Struthio camelus: one gene and its partner. The protein of the gene in region 2 interacts with the protein of the main gene of each other region in a pairwise test. Links are inferred from orthologs where the notes say so. Each region holds a gene or a part of one and is shown on either strand. Other genes may lie near its edges.

What was found. The genes of interacting proteins can lie anywhere in the genome.
Region 1: the proteins of CCNDBP1 (region 2) and CCDC146 interact in binary tests that used the Homo sapiens proteins (3 or more experiments, as listed by UniProt). The two-hybrid records come from large-scale screens. The link is inferred for Struthio camelus from reciprocal best matches to the Homo sapiens genes CCNDBP1 and CCDC146.

The regions. Positions count from the first base shown.
Region 1 is NC_090942.1:14,107,368-14,114,492, reverse strand, and holds the start of CCDC146 (coiled-coil domain-containing protein 146), read left to right. Parts: upstream 1-4,080; 5' UTR 4,081-5,581; coding exon 5,582-5,736; intron 5,737-7,125. Other genes in the region: protein FAM185A, read right to left, coding at 3,141-3,528. UniProt on the Homo sapiens protein: Essential for sperm flagellum biogenesis and male fertility.
Region 2 is NC_090959.1:19,674,283-19,682,264, forward strand, and holds the start of CCNDBP1 (cyclin-D1-binding protein 1), read left to right. Parts: upstream 1-4,940; 5' UTR 4,941-4,992; coding exon 4,993-5,083; intron 5,084-5,159; coding exon 5,160-5,219; intron 5,220-5,872; coding exon 5,873-5,952; intron 5,953-6,675; coding exon 6,676-6,757; intron 6,758-7,208; coding exon 7,209-7,305; intron 7,306-7,982. Other genes in the region: ZNFX1 (NFX1-type zinc finger-containing protein 1), read left to right, coding at 452-547, 2,369-4,801. UniProt on the Homo sapiens protein: May negatively regulate cell cycle progression. May act at least in part via inhibition of the cyclin-D1/CDK4 complex, thereby preventing phosphorylation of RB1 and blocking E2F-dependent transcription.

The sequences.
Region 1 (7,125 bases), on a different chromosome or scaffold from region 2:
TGCTTTCTCTCTAGATTGCAATTTGTTTTTACAAGGGTTAGGATACTGTGCTGATAACACTGATGTTTAATGGATACTTCTTTCCTATACAAAAGAAACAACCCAAACATTTTTTTAGTAATCAAAAAAACCCAGAACAACAAAAAAGCACACACACACACACCACACACATGCAAACAAATAAAAGACACACCCACCTCGAAACCCCAAAGAAACTAGAACTGAGGGGATACTTAAAAGTAGAACCTCATTGGCAAGCAGCACACCTACTGCACTGAAGTCTTCACTGTAATACCAACAATAAGGTGGTCTTCCAATTATATCCAGAGATAAATCTAGATATAACTGGATAACAGCCTGAACAATACTAACATCACAGGGACTCTGGGGTGCCAGATAGTAAGTAATAAAGAGGGATTGTAATACACATACTGAGCAAGATACTTGAACTGTATGATCTCACCACAAAACTAAGTGGAACAACTTGCTTAAAAAAACTAATAAAACCTATTTCAAGAACATCAAAAGCAAGATGCCTGCCAAACAGTCTGCAGAGCTAGTCGATGTTCAAAATACAATTGCAGTCTCAAAGAGCAGAGTACATTTGAAAGGCTAAATGCATTCCTTGCATCAGGGCTGAGATTACCTGGATCTTAATGCAGTAAGACCTTCTGCGCTGCCCCTCCCGCAAAGAAGAGTTAAAAAAAAAAAAAAAAAGCCTGGAGTAGCACACAATAGTCATTCAAACGTCCTAGAAAAACTCAAATACAAGACTGCTACCTATCACCTATATTAACCAAACATGCCTGGTACCAAAGAAATGAAGGGCAGTAAATGGGAAACTTAGGTTTTTTGATTGTTTGCAGTCCTGGGATGGACTCCCTTAATGAACCATACAAGTAAATGTAATCTTTGTACTTGCCAAGCAGGAAAAAAGTAAGAATTTAGTATACAGACAATTCATAAGGAAGAGTCAATTCTGTAAGAAACTTTTAAGAAGTCCCACCTTATAGAACTACTACAGTTCACTGAAAGAGTCAATGAGTACGTAGATAAGAGTCGATATATTTATGAACACTCAACTTGGATTTTCAGAAGTCTTTGACGAGGTCTTTAGTCCTATGCTTTATTTCCTGTCTTTTAACTAATAAATTACCTGTCATCTTTAGCCTTTCATGAATTTGGAAAACACTGCAAATATCATGGTTGCAAAGTTTCATCAACAATACCGAATTATTCAGAGTTACTAAAAAAACCTGACAAATTGCAGAAAGGTCTTAGAATACTGCATACCAGAATGATAAAAACAGATACTCAGTGGACAGTATACCTGTGCAATTATTCGCCAAAAGGCCTACAGTTTGTTTACACATGTAAACAGTTTCATGATGAGAATGGATAAGCACTTGGAAGGAAGATTTACTGAAAGAAAGATTCACTGTTTAGCTTTCTGAGCCACATCAGAGCTGAAAATGGCTGATGGATGTGAGAATACTTCAATGACATATCATCTGTGTTTGCCCTGTTCTTATTCTTCCCTGAGCATCTGTTTACAATTGCTGCTGTAGACAGGACAGTGGGCTAGCTGGACTCATGGCATGAATTCGCACGGCTATTCTATATAGGAAAAAGTGAGGCACATTGCAGACAGGGCAGAGGGGAAGCCCTTGATTTTATTTTTTTTTTTAAACCCAAGATACGTCTCTAGATTAGTCGTTAGGACACAAGAGGGACCTTGAGTTTTGTTTCTCATACAGATGAGAAACATCAATTCTCAGTGTTCAAAAAAAAAGAATAAATGAACAGTGACCAGAGAACAAAAGAGAATAGTGTCACTTTATAAATCCACTGCACTACTGCATTTTGAAGATGATATACAGTTTAGGTCCTTCTAACCTCACAAAGAAGGACATCACAGAATTTGAGAGGATATAGATGAAAATAACGAGGATAAAAAGGTACAGAATGTCTTTGCTGTCAGAAGAGCTTGGAAAAGCGCTAACCAAGAGAACATATACAGATGACACACACGAGGAGGGATAAACAGGATAGGATTAGTCACCATTTCTCATGGCACAGTTACAGCAGAGTAGCAAATGAAATAAAATGCCAGTCTCAAACAGCCACTTGAAACAAATACAAGGGTTTTTGGTAAACTGAAGATTTTTTTCAGCATAGCGGAACTGTATCTACACTACATACTTTGATACCACTATATATCTACATATGCACACATATAGTTAGAAAAGCAATTACATAAATTCATAGAAAAAAATACTTAACAACTGAAAAACAGAAATTGATCTCTAAGTCAGGAACTCCCGAAACCTCAGCTCAAGCAAGGGGATCTGTTAAGGCAAGCTTGCCCTGTTCCTTCCCTAAACCTATGGCCACTTTCAGGACTTCAATCCAGCAGATTTCAGCTACTACAGCTGCTCTTATGAGTTGTTTGTAGGTTCTGTACGAGAAACGCTGCCCAGATTTTTCTGTTCTGCTCAAAACTGCTAAGACTTGCACTGGAAAAGGGAGCGCTTCTTAGCTTTTCATCTGCATGGCTACCTTCCAGCCCTTTTCGACCCCTGGGGATCCCTTGGCCTGCTAACAGAGCTTGGTAGCAGGCCATATGCAAAAACCCTACTGGGAACAATCCTTAGACTGCAGGTGTGCATAGCACAACACTAAGGCCTGTATTCTCTCAGCTGAGCTGCAGTTACTTGTTTTTTTCTAAAAGACCAGCTGTCAGAGGAAAAAAAAAATAAAACCAGGCATCTGAGCTACCACTTAAGAGCGCTAGTTTTAGCTTTAACCGTTGAAAACCAAAGCTCAACAAGTGTTACGTCCAAACATGCAAGGAACCGGGAGACACGGAAGCAAAGGCCGACAACGTTTTCAAGCCTTGGAAGGGGCCACGAGGCGTTTCTGGATGCTTGTTGCCAGCAGCACTTCCAGTCCCACTGGGAGCAGTGCCGGGAAAGCCGCGACTCGCCCCACCCGAGGGCGGGATCCAGCTCTCCCCTCGGTTAAGAAAGGCCTGAGAGCAGCTCTCGCACCCGCAGGTGCCGGCGCGGCCAGGGGCGTCGAGCGGGGCCTCGCACGCCGTGGGGGCCCCCAGTGCGGCCGCCACCCCCGGCTTCACCCACCGAACTTCGGGGGCGTCTTGACGTCCACGGCCGCCTGGCTGCCCACGCTGTCGGAGACGATGGCCACCTGCTTCAGCACCTCGTCGTACCTCACCTGGACGTGGTCCAGGCGGCGGCCGCGGTCGGCGCCGCTGACGGTGACGAGCACGCGGTCGGCATCCGGGTAGCGCTGCGGGTCCAGCGGGCGCACGCTCACCTGGCAGGGCAGCCGCACCGCCAGCCGCCCCCGCGGGCTCACCGCCAGCGCCCACTCCCTCAGCGCCTTACCGCCGCCGGGCTCCGCCGAGCTGCCGCGGCGAGGCCCGCCCGCCGCCAAGCCACCCCGCCGCCCGCTCCCCTGCCACCCGCCCGCCACCAGAGACGCCCAGCGCGGGCGCAGCGCCCTCATGGCGCCCGGCGCGGCAGAGGCCCCCGAGGCTACGCGGGGCACGGAGCCATTTCCCGCCGCGACACGGCGGCGGCAGCAGCGCGCAGATGGGCACCGGGACGGCTGGTAAACAGCCGTTGGCGGCGGGCCCGGCCGGAGCCTCGCGCCAGTCCCCGCCCCCCTCCACCGAGGGGGCTTCTGGGAGACGTAGTTCCCCCCCCCCCCCAGCAGAGGGAACTACAAGTTCCCGAAAAGGGGCGACAGCAGCCGTACGCATTGACCTATGAGCGAAGGGGGGGAGGCGGAGCTTTTCCGTGTTCTGCTTCTATAGGGCAGCGGGAGGGATCCTAGGGCCAATGAGGAGCGAGCGTGACGGGCGAGGGCGGTTGAGTAGTACGAAAGGAGCGGAGCCGGCGTTGCCATAGGAACGTGGGACGCCGCTCCGCGCAGCCGGGGCCGGCCGCGGCCGCGCAGGTAGGGCAGGGGGCCGGGGCCGGGGCCGGGGCGGTGGGCCAGGCCGGGCCGGACCGGACCGGACCCCGGAGCCGGGCCTGGCCCTGCCGGCCCGGAGGGACAGCAGCGGTTGGGGTGGAGGGGGGGCTCGGGGCCACCTCAGCCCCGCTCGAGGAGGCTGCGAGGACAGGCCGGGGCGGCCTTCCCCCTCGCGGGGCCTCCCGCGGGGTCACCTCACGCGCCAGAAGATGATTTCGGTGCTCTCGAGGCCTTTTCCGTGCTCTCCTCGGGCCGGTCGTGGGGCTGCCGAGCTTTAACGTCCAGTGCGAGCGCCGGCGCTGGGGTGCCTGGCTGGTTTCCAGCCTGCTCGGCCCCCTGCGGCCCCCGCGGCCGCAGGCAGGGGGCGCGGCAGCGCGGGGCGGGGAAGGAGGAAAGGGTAAGGCCTTTGGGCGGCACCCTGCTCTTCGCTGCGCTTTTAGCCCGCAGTGACGCTTCACGTGATGAAATGCCCTTGGTCAGAGGATAAAGAAGCAGTTTACCAGATATGCTGCGAAAAACATTTTTCCAAAACAGTGTTGCGGAGCTCAAAAATTACGTGCTGTCAAGATAGCTTGGTTAACACGTTATTTATTGTGACTGCTTCTCAGACAGGCAGCCAAATAAATATTTTCCTTAGTGCTGTGCAAATGTGTCATGAAACAACAGTCCTTACAGGGTTTACCAACAAGTGGGGAAATACAGACTTCAGTTAAAGAGACTTTTATGGACTTCTTAGTCCACATTAGTATTATACAATAATTTTTAAAAAGGGGTGTGGATGAGCATAGATCATGTGAAGCTGGAGATTAAATTCCTGTTGTAGGTTTCCTAACAGTAGCTTACTGCCAATAATGAAACAGGCATAGAAAGGTGTGCGGTCTTAGCTACATTGCAACATAAGAAATAATGAAATCTAGGATTGTTGATTGGTTTGCTCACTCTTTTACACTCCATGTGTTGTTTCCAAAAATAACTATGCAAGCCATACAATATAATATTTGGTTTTAAGCTCTTTTCATCTTGTTAACTTCACTTCTGTTATTATCTGCATCTGGGAGTGATTATTTTTTAGTCCAAAATGACATTTAAATCTCTAATAGGAAAGAAGCTGGTCCTAGTTTTTTTGTCTTTCTGTAATTTTCACTGTAGAGAGTCTAATAAGGATTCATATTGGTCAATGAAGCTCTTCAAGTTAAATTATTTTGTTGGTTTATGTTATTCAGTCTCAAAAATCCTTAAATGAAAGACAAAACAGTGACGGTCAGCAATATGCTAGAATTCTAGAAAGACAAAAAGAGATTAAGACATATCTTGGGGCATGAAGAGGGCTATAAGTTAAAATTGTCAAGTCTTCAGAAATAGTTGCTTTTGGAAAAACAGTACAGAATTCTCCCCCTGAAACCAAATACTGAGTTTAGCTGTTGGTTACATAATTTGACAGGGAAGCAGTTACAGGCCTGTTAAATGGTGGTGCAATGAACTATGCTTCCACCAGATGACAGGCCATTCAACAAATAACTCTATTAACCTCCTACGTTCAAAGCAAGGAATTCCAATTTTTTTTTCAGGTGAGGCTTGACTGATGCCACACATTTCTCCTGAAGTTAGTGCTGCTGTGTCCTTATCGCAGTTTCCTGTCTCCTCTCAAACCTTAGCACTGCTGCCCCGCTGCCCCCCTTTCCTGCAGCATCTTGATAGGGCATTTGATGCTGTCTTCTTGGAGCAGAGGTTTATCAGGTTGGGCTCCATGCAGTGCTATGCATCATTTCTTATGCATCATCTTTAATATTGGCATGTCTCATGTAATTGAGAGTCTTGGTTTGACAAACTGTTCAAAGATGCTGAAGCCCTAGCTACCTATATATTTCACCGTTTTATGGGTTTGTTTTTTCCACTAGACACCTGTTAGAGGTATAAACACACTTTAAAATATATTTAAGAAGACTGAAGAAAGCAGGAAAGGTTCTACTGATGTCATCTGTATTTGAACTATAAAGTTAATTCCATTTCACCTTCATGCTTGTGACTGAATTCTACTTGATTCCATATCAGCTGGTATGGAGTGTGGCAAATTAAGTATTTCTTACCATCTGTGCAACAATAAAATGAGATTTATTTTCACTTTTAATTTTCTGACTTGTCACCTGCCAGAAAAGAAACCTTATATCAAATTTACAAATGGTTAGGGATTTAATTCGATCTGCAATTTCAAGACGTCTGCATCTGTACAATAGGGTGGGTTAAACCAGGACCTGTGAAAGTAAGTCCTTAATGATTTACCATACTCCTTAGTCATTGCCAGATGTTTACGTACCTGAATGTTGTGGTAAGTGAAAGAATTTACCAGAATATTCTGTATTACATGCAAGAGACAATAAAAAGTAGACCTTAGGTTGCTTTATGAAATAGATTTTTAAAGCCAGAGCTATATAAGAGGAGCTTTTAGGCTAAGGGAAGTCCAAGAGAGATCTTAAGGAAAGAAGAATTAAAAGAAACGGTCCTCCAGGAGAGGCTGTAGAAGGAATACGTATTTCACTTTGACAGTTAGAACAAAGTGCAGAACAAGATCAGACAGCTTCAGAAACCCAAAGGATATAAACATTACTTAGTCTACTTGGGCAGGATTAAGGTCATCCATTTGCCATACTTGTAATGAAGAAATAATACAACTTCACTATTCAGTAAGAAGAGGCTGCCCTGCAGGAGTGTTCTTGCTGGAATTACGTTCCTGCTGATGTTTACCTGCAGATGAAAGAACGTATCCTTTCAACTTGCCATCTGGAGTTAGGGCAAGATTTACCATGTACATGGCTAGTCACTACTTAGTGTTTCTTCATGTCATAAAGCTCAAGATGTTTGGTATGAGGATTTTTTTGTGAAGTTTATTAAAAATTCTTATGTATTTCTATTACAAAATATTTGTATTACATTATTGTAATTCAGTTTTTGTTTTGTAAATAACATTATTCTGTAATGTTTTTCTGGAACTACTTCCTTGAGCCTTCTTAAGTTCTCAAGTCATGCCTAGGGCACAATGTTGAGCAAACCTTGTTTTTTTTCTGTGTTTTCTTTCCTGTATTCTAGTGTGTGTGTAGGGATGGTAACAGTCCCTTCTCTGAGATGGTA
Region 2 (7,982 bases):
GCACAAATCTTTTCAGGCTGCCTCCTGCTAAAGTGTTATAACCGTGGTTGTTGGGGTTTGTTTGTGTTTTTTTGTTTGGTTTTTTTTTTTTTTGGTATCTGGAGAAATTGATTCTTCCTCCAGCAGTCCTGGATTTAAAATTCTCTAGAAGAGATCATGTAGTGGTTAGGGTGAGGTGCTGGATTTTGTTATCTAGAACCCTGTTCTCCTTAGATTGCAGTGAGACCAGCATGCTTATTACAACAGCCTTGCCAAGTGATTTTCATGAAGGTACTTTGGTAACACTCACCTTGAAGTTGCTGTTGGAGGGAGGGTTCTCATCTTGATTCTTACTGGAAAGTCACCCTTGTCTTGCATTTGGCCGCTGTCTTTACAGTGAAACAACAGATTCTTGGCAGGGAAATATGGTGCTTCTTCCTCAAGACTGATAGGCTGCTGCTTTGTGTTTCAGCACCGCATGCGTCCTGAAATTGCCCAGCTTCTCAGTCCCCACATATACCAGGAGCTGGAGAACCATCCATCTGTCCTGAAATATGAAAACATAAAAGTGAGTTTTCAGCAGTCAAGCACTTTCTCTTGTCCTCTGTAACTGGCTAAAACAAGTTTCTGTAGAATAGTATTTAAGGATTTTAACTTCTTAAATCAAGTTCAGCTAAAGAAACTGATATGTAAATCAAGGAAACAAGGTATACAGAATTAGGCAAATAACATGTAACTTTGTCTGGCATTAGCAACTGTAGGCATTGTAAATGGATCCAGTATTGAAGACTGTAAAAGAACAGACAAAAAGGAAGATGGACCAAAAGAGTTGTATGTGATTGAAAGCTAGGAAGAAATCTTAAACGAGAGACTTAGAGCATAATTTGTGAAGCTCCCTCATAAGATAGGTGACTTGATTACTTGGGTTCTTTATTTTGGCACCTTTACGTGTACACAAAATCTGCAAGCAGGATCTATGCAGTTTAAAAGTATAAACTAATCGTTGTTAGCTAACGTGTGCAACCAAACAGCTAGAATTTAATGATTTATTAAGCTGAGCATTGGTATGCTTGCCTCACCATAAGATGCCTGAAATGTCTTTGCAAGTCAGGCAGGCCTCAATCAGAAGAGGAAAGGTCAGCCTCTGCTGCTTCCTCAATATTACTGAGCTTCCATTTTCCACTAACTCCCTCCTTTCTGATTTTTTTTTTTTATTTCCCTGCCCCACACCAGTTATGATTTTATACCTTTCTGTGTTAGTGCTTATCTTTTTATCTTTGAACTAGTAACAATCGTACCTATGTAACTTTTACCTGCCCTATCTTGCATAGCCCTGTTCTGCAGACTTTTGCACAGCCCTCTGTCACAACTTAACAATTTCCTCAGAATTCTGAGTCAAGGTGACAGCAATGCTGTGTCCGAGCTAGGTCTTGAATCCTTGGAACCCAAGCAACTGAATACCCTGGGAGAAAGAATTAGAGGTGGTTACAGAGAGGATTACAGTAACTTAGTCTACTTAGATCTCTTTGTGAAAAGACAGTACTCGTTAATGAAAGCTCTTTAAGTGAATGAGATAGGTGTACCAAAAACCACTGTAAAATGCTGAAGCCAGGCAGGAGAAAATGAATAGTGAGGATGATTACTTACTAGAATAAGCTGTCTCTAGGATAAAGTTGCATGTCCCTTCTTTGTATCTTCAAATCCAGATGAAGTATTTTGTAGAAGATGCCTTATTTAAAAATAGCTACTTAGGTCAGGAGAAACAGGATAAAATTTTGTGGTCTCCTATAAGGTAAGCTATTCTGGAGAATGTTATGATCCCATCTGACCTTTTTTTAAAAAAAAAAAAACAAAAAACTGAGATATGATAATTTTATCATTTTAGATTCTTATCTAGTACAGTAACCAACAGAGGTGACAACTAGATTAAAGTATACAGCAGTTACTGCAGCTATGGTCACCTTGGAAAACCAGAGATGTGTGTGTGATCCACGAAAAGTGTTCTTTCCTGAAAAAAGCAGTCTCTGTGTTTTGGTATAACAGCCCAAGAATTCTTTGTGGGTGGAAGAATTCCAGTTAATAGGCAAAAAAATGAAGGTCCCCATTAACCCAAGGCAAATGGAAGTTTTGGACAGGTGAGCAGATAACTCACTAAACCCCTGCAGTTGATGACTATTGAGTGACTACTGGAAATGTCACTAATCAGCTCAAAGTCTCCTCTGATGAATATACTATGGAAATCTAAGAGGCAATTATTTTAGGAGAGGACTACAGGATGTGGTTACTGCATACTTAAAGAATCTTAGTAAGGGATAATCAGAGATATGGGAAGAGGCTGTAGAGACAGAAGGTAGAATTCTACTTCTGAGATTCTTTTCTTTTGTTTCAGGGGGTCTCATCTAACCTCTTCTTTGTGGAGCATGACTTTCCTGAGCAAGAGATCCAGGAAGGGAAAAGCCACCAGAACCCACATGAGGCCCAGTTTGTAGTGGAATTGTGCAAGTATTTCTTGTGTCAGGATTATCTACCTTCTCAGATCACCATTCTTACTACCTATACTGGGCAGCTTTTCTGTCTGCGTAAGCTCATGCCGGCCAAGACCTTTGCAGGTGTGAAGGTTCATGTAGTGGATAAATACCAGGGGCAAGAGAATGATATTATCCTGCTGTCGCTTGTGCGGAGCAACAAAGAGGAGAGATCAGGGTTCTTGCAGATCTCTAATCGGATATGTGTAGCATTATCCAGAGCTAAGAAAGGGTTGTATTGTATTGGAAATATGAGAATGCTTGGCAAGGTTCCTCTCTGGAGCAAGATCATTCACACCCTCCGGGAGAAAGGCCACATTGGCCGCTCCTTGATGCTTTGCTGCCAAAACCACCCTGAAACCAAGACACTGGTATCTACTGCAGCAGACTTCAGCAAAGTCCCAGAAGGAGGTTGTAGTCGTCCCTGTGAATTTAGGTTGAGTTGTGGACATGTTTGCACAAGGGCATGTCACCCGTATGACACACAGCACAAAGAGTATCAGTGCCTGAAGCCTTGTCAAAAGGTGCTTTGTACAAACGGGCATCGCTGTCCGCAGTTGTGTTATGAGCCCTGTGGACACTGCATGGTGAAAGTTGAGAAAATTATTTCCAAGTGTGGCCACCGACAGATGGTGCCGTGCTCTACTCCAGACACTGAGTTTTTTTGCCAAGAACCTTGTCAGAAAAAGTTGAACTGTGGGCACAGGTGCAACAAATTCTGTGGGCAGGAATGCACTACAAGGTGTCCTGAGCTGGTTACAGTTGCACTGAAATGTGGCCACATCCAGCAAGTGAAGTGCTGGATCACTGAGGAGATGAAACAGGGGATGCCTGTGGAATGTAAAACTAAGTGTTCTGTCACGCTGGAGTGTGGTCATGTATGCTCGGGTTCCTGTCATTCCTGCTTTGAAGGAAGATTTCATAAGCCGTGTAACAGCCCATGCAAGCGCTTCTTAGTCTGCTCCCACAAGTGTCAGCAGCCTTGTACTACCGAATGCCCTCCATGTCAGCTGGACTGTCAGAACCACTGCATTCACAGCAGATGTAAAAAGAAATGTGGAGAGCGCTGTTTTCCATGTGCAGAGCCATGTGAGTGGCGATGTCAGCACTATCAGTGTACCAATCTTTGCTCTGAGCCATGCAATAGGCCTCGTTGCAATGTACCGTGTACTAAACTACTGCACTGTGGACACCCTTGTATTGGATTGTGTGGAGAGCCCTGCCCACAGAAGTGCCTTGTCTGTGACCATGAAGAAGTCACGCAGATCTTTTTTGGCTTTGAGGAGGATCCAGATGCTCGGTTTGTACAGCTTGAAGACTGTGGCCATGTTTTTGAGTCCCAAGGCCTTGACCACTATATGGATGAAGATGATGATGTTATCAAGCTGAAGGTGTGCCCTGTCTGTCAGACACCTATCAGAAAGAATTTGAGATATGGCACCATTGTGCAAAGGCGTCTGGATGAGATAGAGAGAGTGAAAGAGAAAATCCAAGGCCCAGTACAGGAAATTGAATCTAGCAGACAAAGACTGCAGGCTGCACTAGCAGAGAATGCTGTTCTGCAGAGGAATCTACCCCTTAAGTACCTTATGCTGGAAGATAAACTGAGAGCCTCTGTTCTGTCCACAAAGAGTATCGGACTAATTGAGAACCAGCTTAACTTCTATGACCGTCTAGCTGATCTGACCAATTCGATGAGCAAAATTGATGCAAGTGAGAGGAAAGGGCTGAGGAAGCGTCTGGATGAAGTCCAGGACTGGCTGGATAAGCCACGCCTCAGTTTTACAGGGCAGGAGCTCTCTGACCTGCAGGCTGAGATCCAGAGACTGACCTACTTGATGAGCCTCTTGGCAAGGTGCAAAGGTGCAAGTGGGAGGATCACCCCAGCCCTTGCAGAAGAGATTGCCAGTGTACGTGAGATCCTGGAAGGGACAAAGAAATTCACAGAGAAGGATGAGGCTGCAGTGAAGGCTAGATTAGAGAAGCTCTGCAGTGCCCTGCCTGTGTCAGGGCTGGGGATCTCTGAAGCAGAGCGGGTGCAGATTGTCAGTGCTATTGGCTGTCCCCGCGGTCACTGGTTCAAGTGCAAAAATGGGCACATCTATGTCATTGGGGAGTGCGGGGGTGCGATGGAGAGGAGCAAGTGCCCCGAATGCCGTGCGGATATTGGTGGCACAAACCACACTCTGGACAGCACCAACAGCCTGGCCCCCGAGATGGATGGGGCCACGCACGCTGCCTGGTCCGACACAGCTAACAACCTGCTCAACTTCGAGGAGCTCCGCAGGCTGCTGTAGAGGCCTCCGCGCGGGCTCGCTGCTGCCCTTGTCGTTAATAAAGTGTATCCGTGCTCCCTTGTGTCTCGTCTGTCAGCGCGGGCCACGGGCCGAGCGCGGGGCGCGGCCCCCGCCGGCACCGCCCTTCCCGCGTCGCTACCCGGAAGCGGATGTGACGGCCGTGAGGGAGCGTCGCTGGCCGCTCCGCCGCCATGGAGCCGGCGGGCCCGGGGCCCCGGCAGGCGCGGGAGCCGCTGCGGGACCTGCGGGGCGCGCTGCGCGCGGTGCTGGCGCGGGTCCGAGGTGGGGGCCGGGGCCGGGGCCGGGGCCGGGGCCGCGCCGCCTCTGGCCTGGCTGAGGTCTCTTTCTGCCTTTGCAGAGGGCGAACCGGGCGAGGGCCGCGAGCCGTTCGAGCCGCCGCGCTTCTGGGACGCGCTCGGTACGGAGCGGGCCGGGCTAGGGCGGCGCTGGGTCGGGCTGCTGCGCGGAGCAGAGCGGGGCCGGGGCTGGAGCAGGGCCAGGCCACCATGGGGGACAGAGCTGGGCTGGGCAGGGGCAGGCACTGGGCAGACACGTTTAGCAGTTTTTGTGGGTGGTGTCAGTGGCAGAGCTGGGACATCGTGGTGCTGTTACATGGCACGGCTATGAGTTGCAAGAGAGGTCACCAGGAAAGTCTCCAGTCAAGGCTCCTGCCCTCGTCCTCGATTTCCTGGTGTCATTGACAAAGCAGTGGGCAGTATGGAGTGATCGTCATGACCGAGCTTTTTAAAGGCTTTGGTCTCTGTTAAAGCTTCCTGGCGTGTCCTGGTAAAGGTAGCATGGGCTAGGTGACAAAATGTGATAATGGATTTCAGAACCAGCTAAGTAAAAAAGTAGAATGGACAGTTTAGTGTGACACAGCTGCAATGTGGATTTTTTTTCCTCTGCTGTAGCTTACATTCTTGTCATATTTAGAAGTGAGAGACAGTAATCAGAGAGTAGATGTTAGGGCAAAGCAGCATCAGAGAGGACGTTGCTCATCTAGCTGCTCTGTTTTTTCATCTTTTACTTAAGATCCTGATAAATGTCTTTTTCCCATTGGATCATTCTTAGGTCAGACATTCAAAGCAACATCACAGGAAGCTACGAAGCTGAGTCTTGCATTCTCAAGGCCTCCACTGCCTTCTGCAGAGGTGTGTGAAAGCCCCCACAGAGTGTGAAATTGCAGTGCATATGATAAGTTTCAGATATCTCCTGACTGGCTAGACTAAAATAGAGTCGTTGGATTTAATGTAAACAGGGCACATTTGCGTGGACTATAGGTTGCAGAATGTATTAATCCAGTTCAAAAATTGTCTAAAGAGCTAATTTCTGGAATTTGGGAGGGGTATACCAAATAGAAGTATTCTTATATTCCTTTCTTTAACATTATTTGGCACGTACAACTGCTTGCTGGTGGAGACAGTATATTGGGCAATGTGGATCTTAGGTCTAACTAAGAATGGAAGTGTTTTTGCTGTTAATTGAGAGAAGTTTTAACACACCTGTGCTTGAAAGAGGGGAAAAAAGACCACCAGTTCAGAACAGTGATCTAAGCCGCTTCTTCCTCACTGATGCGTAACCACCAGACTAGCGGGTGTTTTCTGTTACTAAACTGTGAGGAAATTCATGATGCATACAATGAGTCTGCAACTCTAGCAAATTACTCTGTTCTGTGCTTGTAGACTTCAGAAACGCTTAAATGCCGTAACTTACCATTGTGCTGTATTTGTTTCTTGAGCCAGCTGGCCATTGCTGTGCTTCCCTACAGTCTTTTTTCAAAGTAATCTGGATTTAAATGGTTGCTTGTGAGACTTTCTAAGTGGAACGCAGCAATGCACTTTTCCTGGTTAATCTTTTTGCCTATCCGTTTTTAGGATTGTCGGAAGCTGAGTGAAGACGTCCAAAATGCGATTCTTGCAGTTGCCACAGTGTACTACTCGCTCCCTAAAGGCCAAGGTGAGATGGTAACAGCAGGGCAGTGCCAGTTCTTTCATCACTGTATGATGAAGCCCAGTATCTCAGAGCCCGGTAGGAGACCTGGCATCTACAGGAAATCAAGTTTTCATGAGCAAAGAGAGTCCCATTGTCAGCTATTCCATAGACTTGCAACATGGTTGTGAGTGAACCACTCCACTGTCTACTTCTGCGGATCTCCAGCTGTGGAAGAGTGATAATGTAGGAAGAGGTATAGTTGATTGAGTGTTCGTATTTATAAAACGTTGAGATTTTGCCCAAAGTCCTTTTGAAACTCAGGAACAAACATCGCTTCCTTCAAAATACCTGTAACTTTATTTATACCATGTGTCTGCATGAATGGAGCTGCCTGTGTGTTCATCTTTGGCAGTTGCTTTCTGTCGTTGCTGTCTTTTTGTTGCAACATCGTTGCTCTTTTCTCAATCTCAACCAGGTACTACTCTTCGGAAGATGGTACGAGATGCTACTACTGAGGTAGTGGAAGGAATGATCCAGCTCACAGAAACAATTCTCAATACTCCATTGGAGAGGTAGTGCTTTTCCGGAAAGAAGAGAGAAAACATTACAAGTATACTTGCAAGGGGGCAGCAAGTGCAGGCTGCTCCCAAAGGGAAGGGGGGAGCCAGGAGCCGACCATGGTTATAAGGCAGGCAGAGGCAATGCCCTCACCAGCAAGGGCCCAGTCTCACAGTATCTGATTGAGCAGAGCAGGCGTGGTGAAGGTGGCCGCGTTCAGTTGAGAGTTCAGATCCTCAAACAAGTCTATAGCGACAAGGTACGTTTGAGGTCAAGCTGGAGAGTCAAGCTGGCAAGTCATGGTCAGGATCAGATCCTGAAACAGTAAACAAGGTTAGACACAGACCAATGATTGCCCAGTTGGGTCAGTGGTGAATTGGGTCCAAGGTCAAGTCAGGAAGTCAAGTCAGGATCGGGGTCGGAATCGAGGGGATATGAGACTGGGTGCAGACATAGCCACCACACAGCTATGATGTAGCACAGACAGGGCCCAGCCAGAGAACCTCAGCTTGAAAGTATCTTCTAGGGGAAGGAGGGACTGGGCCTCACTAACTTTCTTCATAAGAGCTCTTAATAGTAAAAGAACTGACCTTGGACTTAGCCAGATAAACTCCTTAACTGAGCCATCTAAAGTCCTAGGAGGGTAGAATCCCCTCAAGACCCTGACAGTACTCAGTAACCAAGTGGGGTA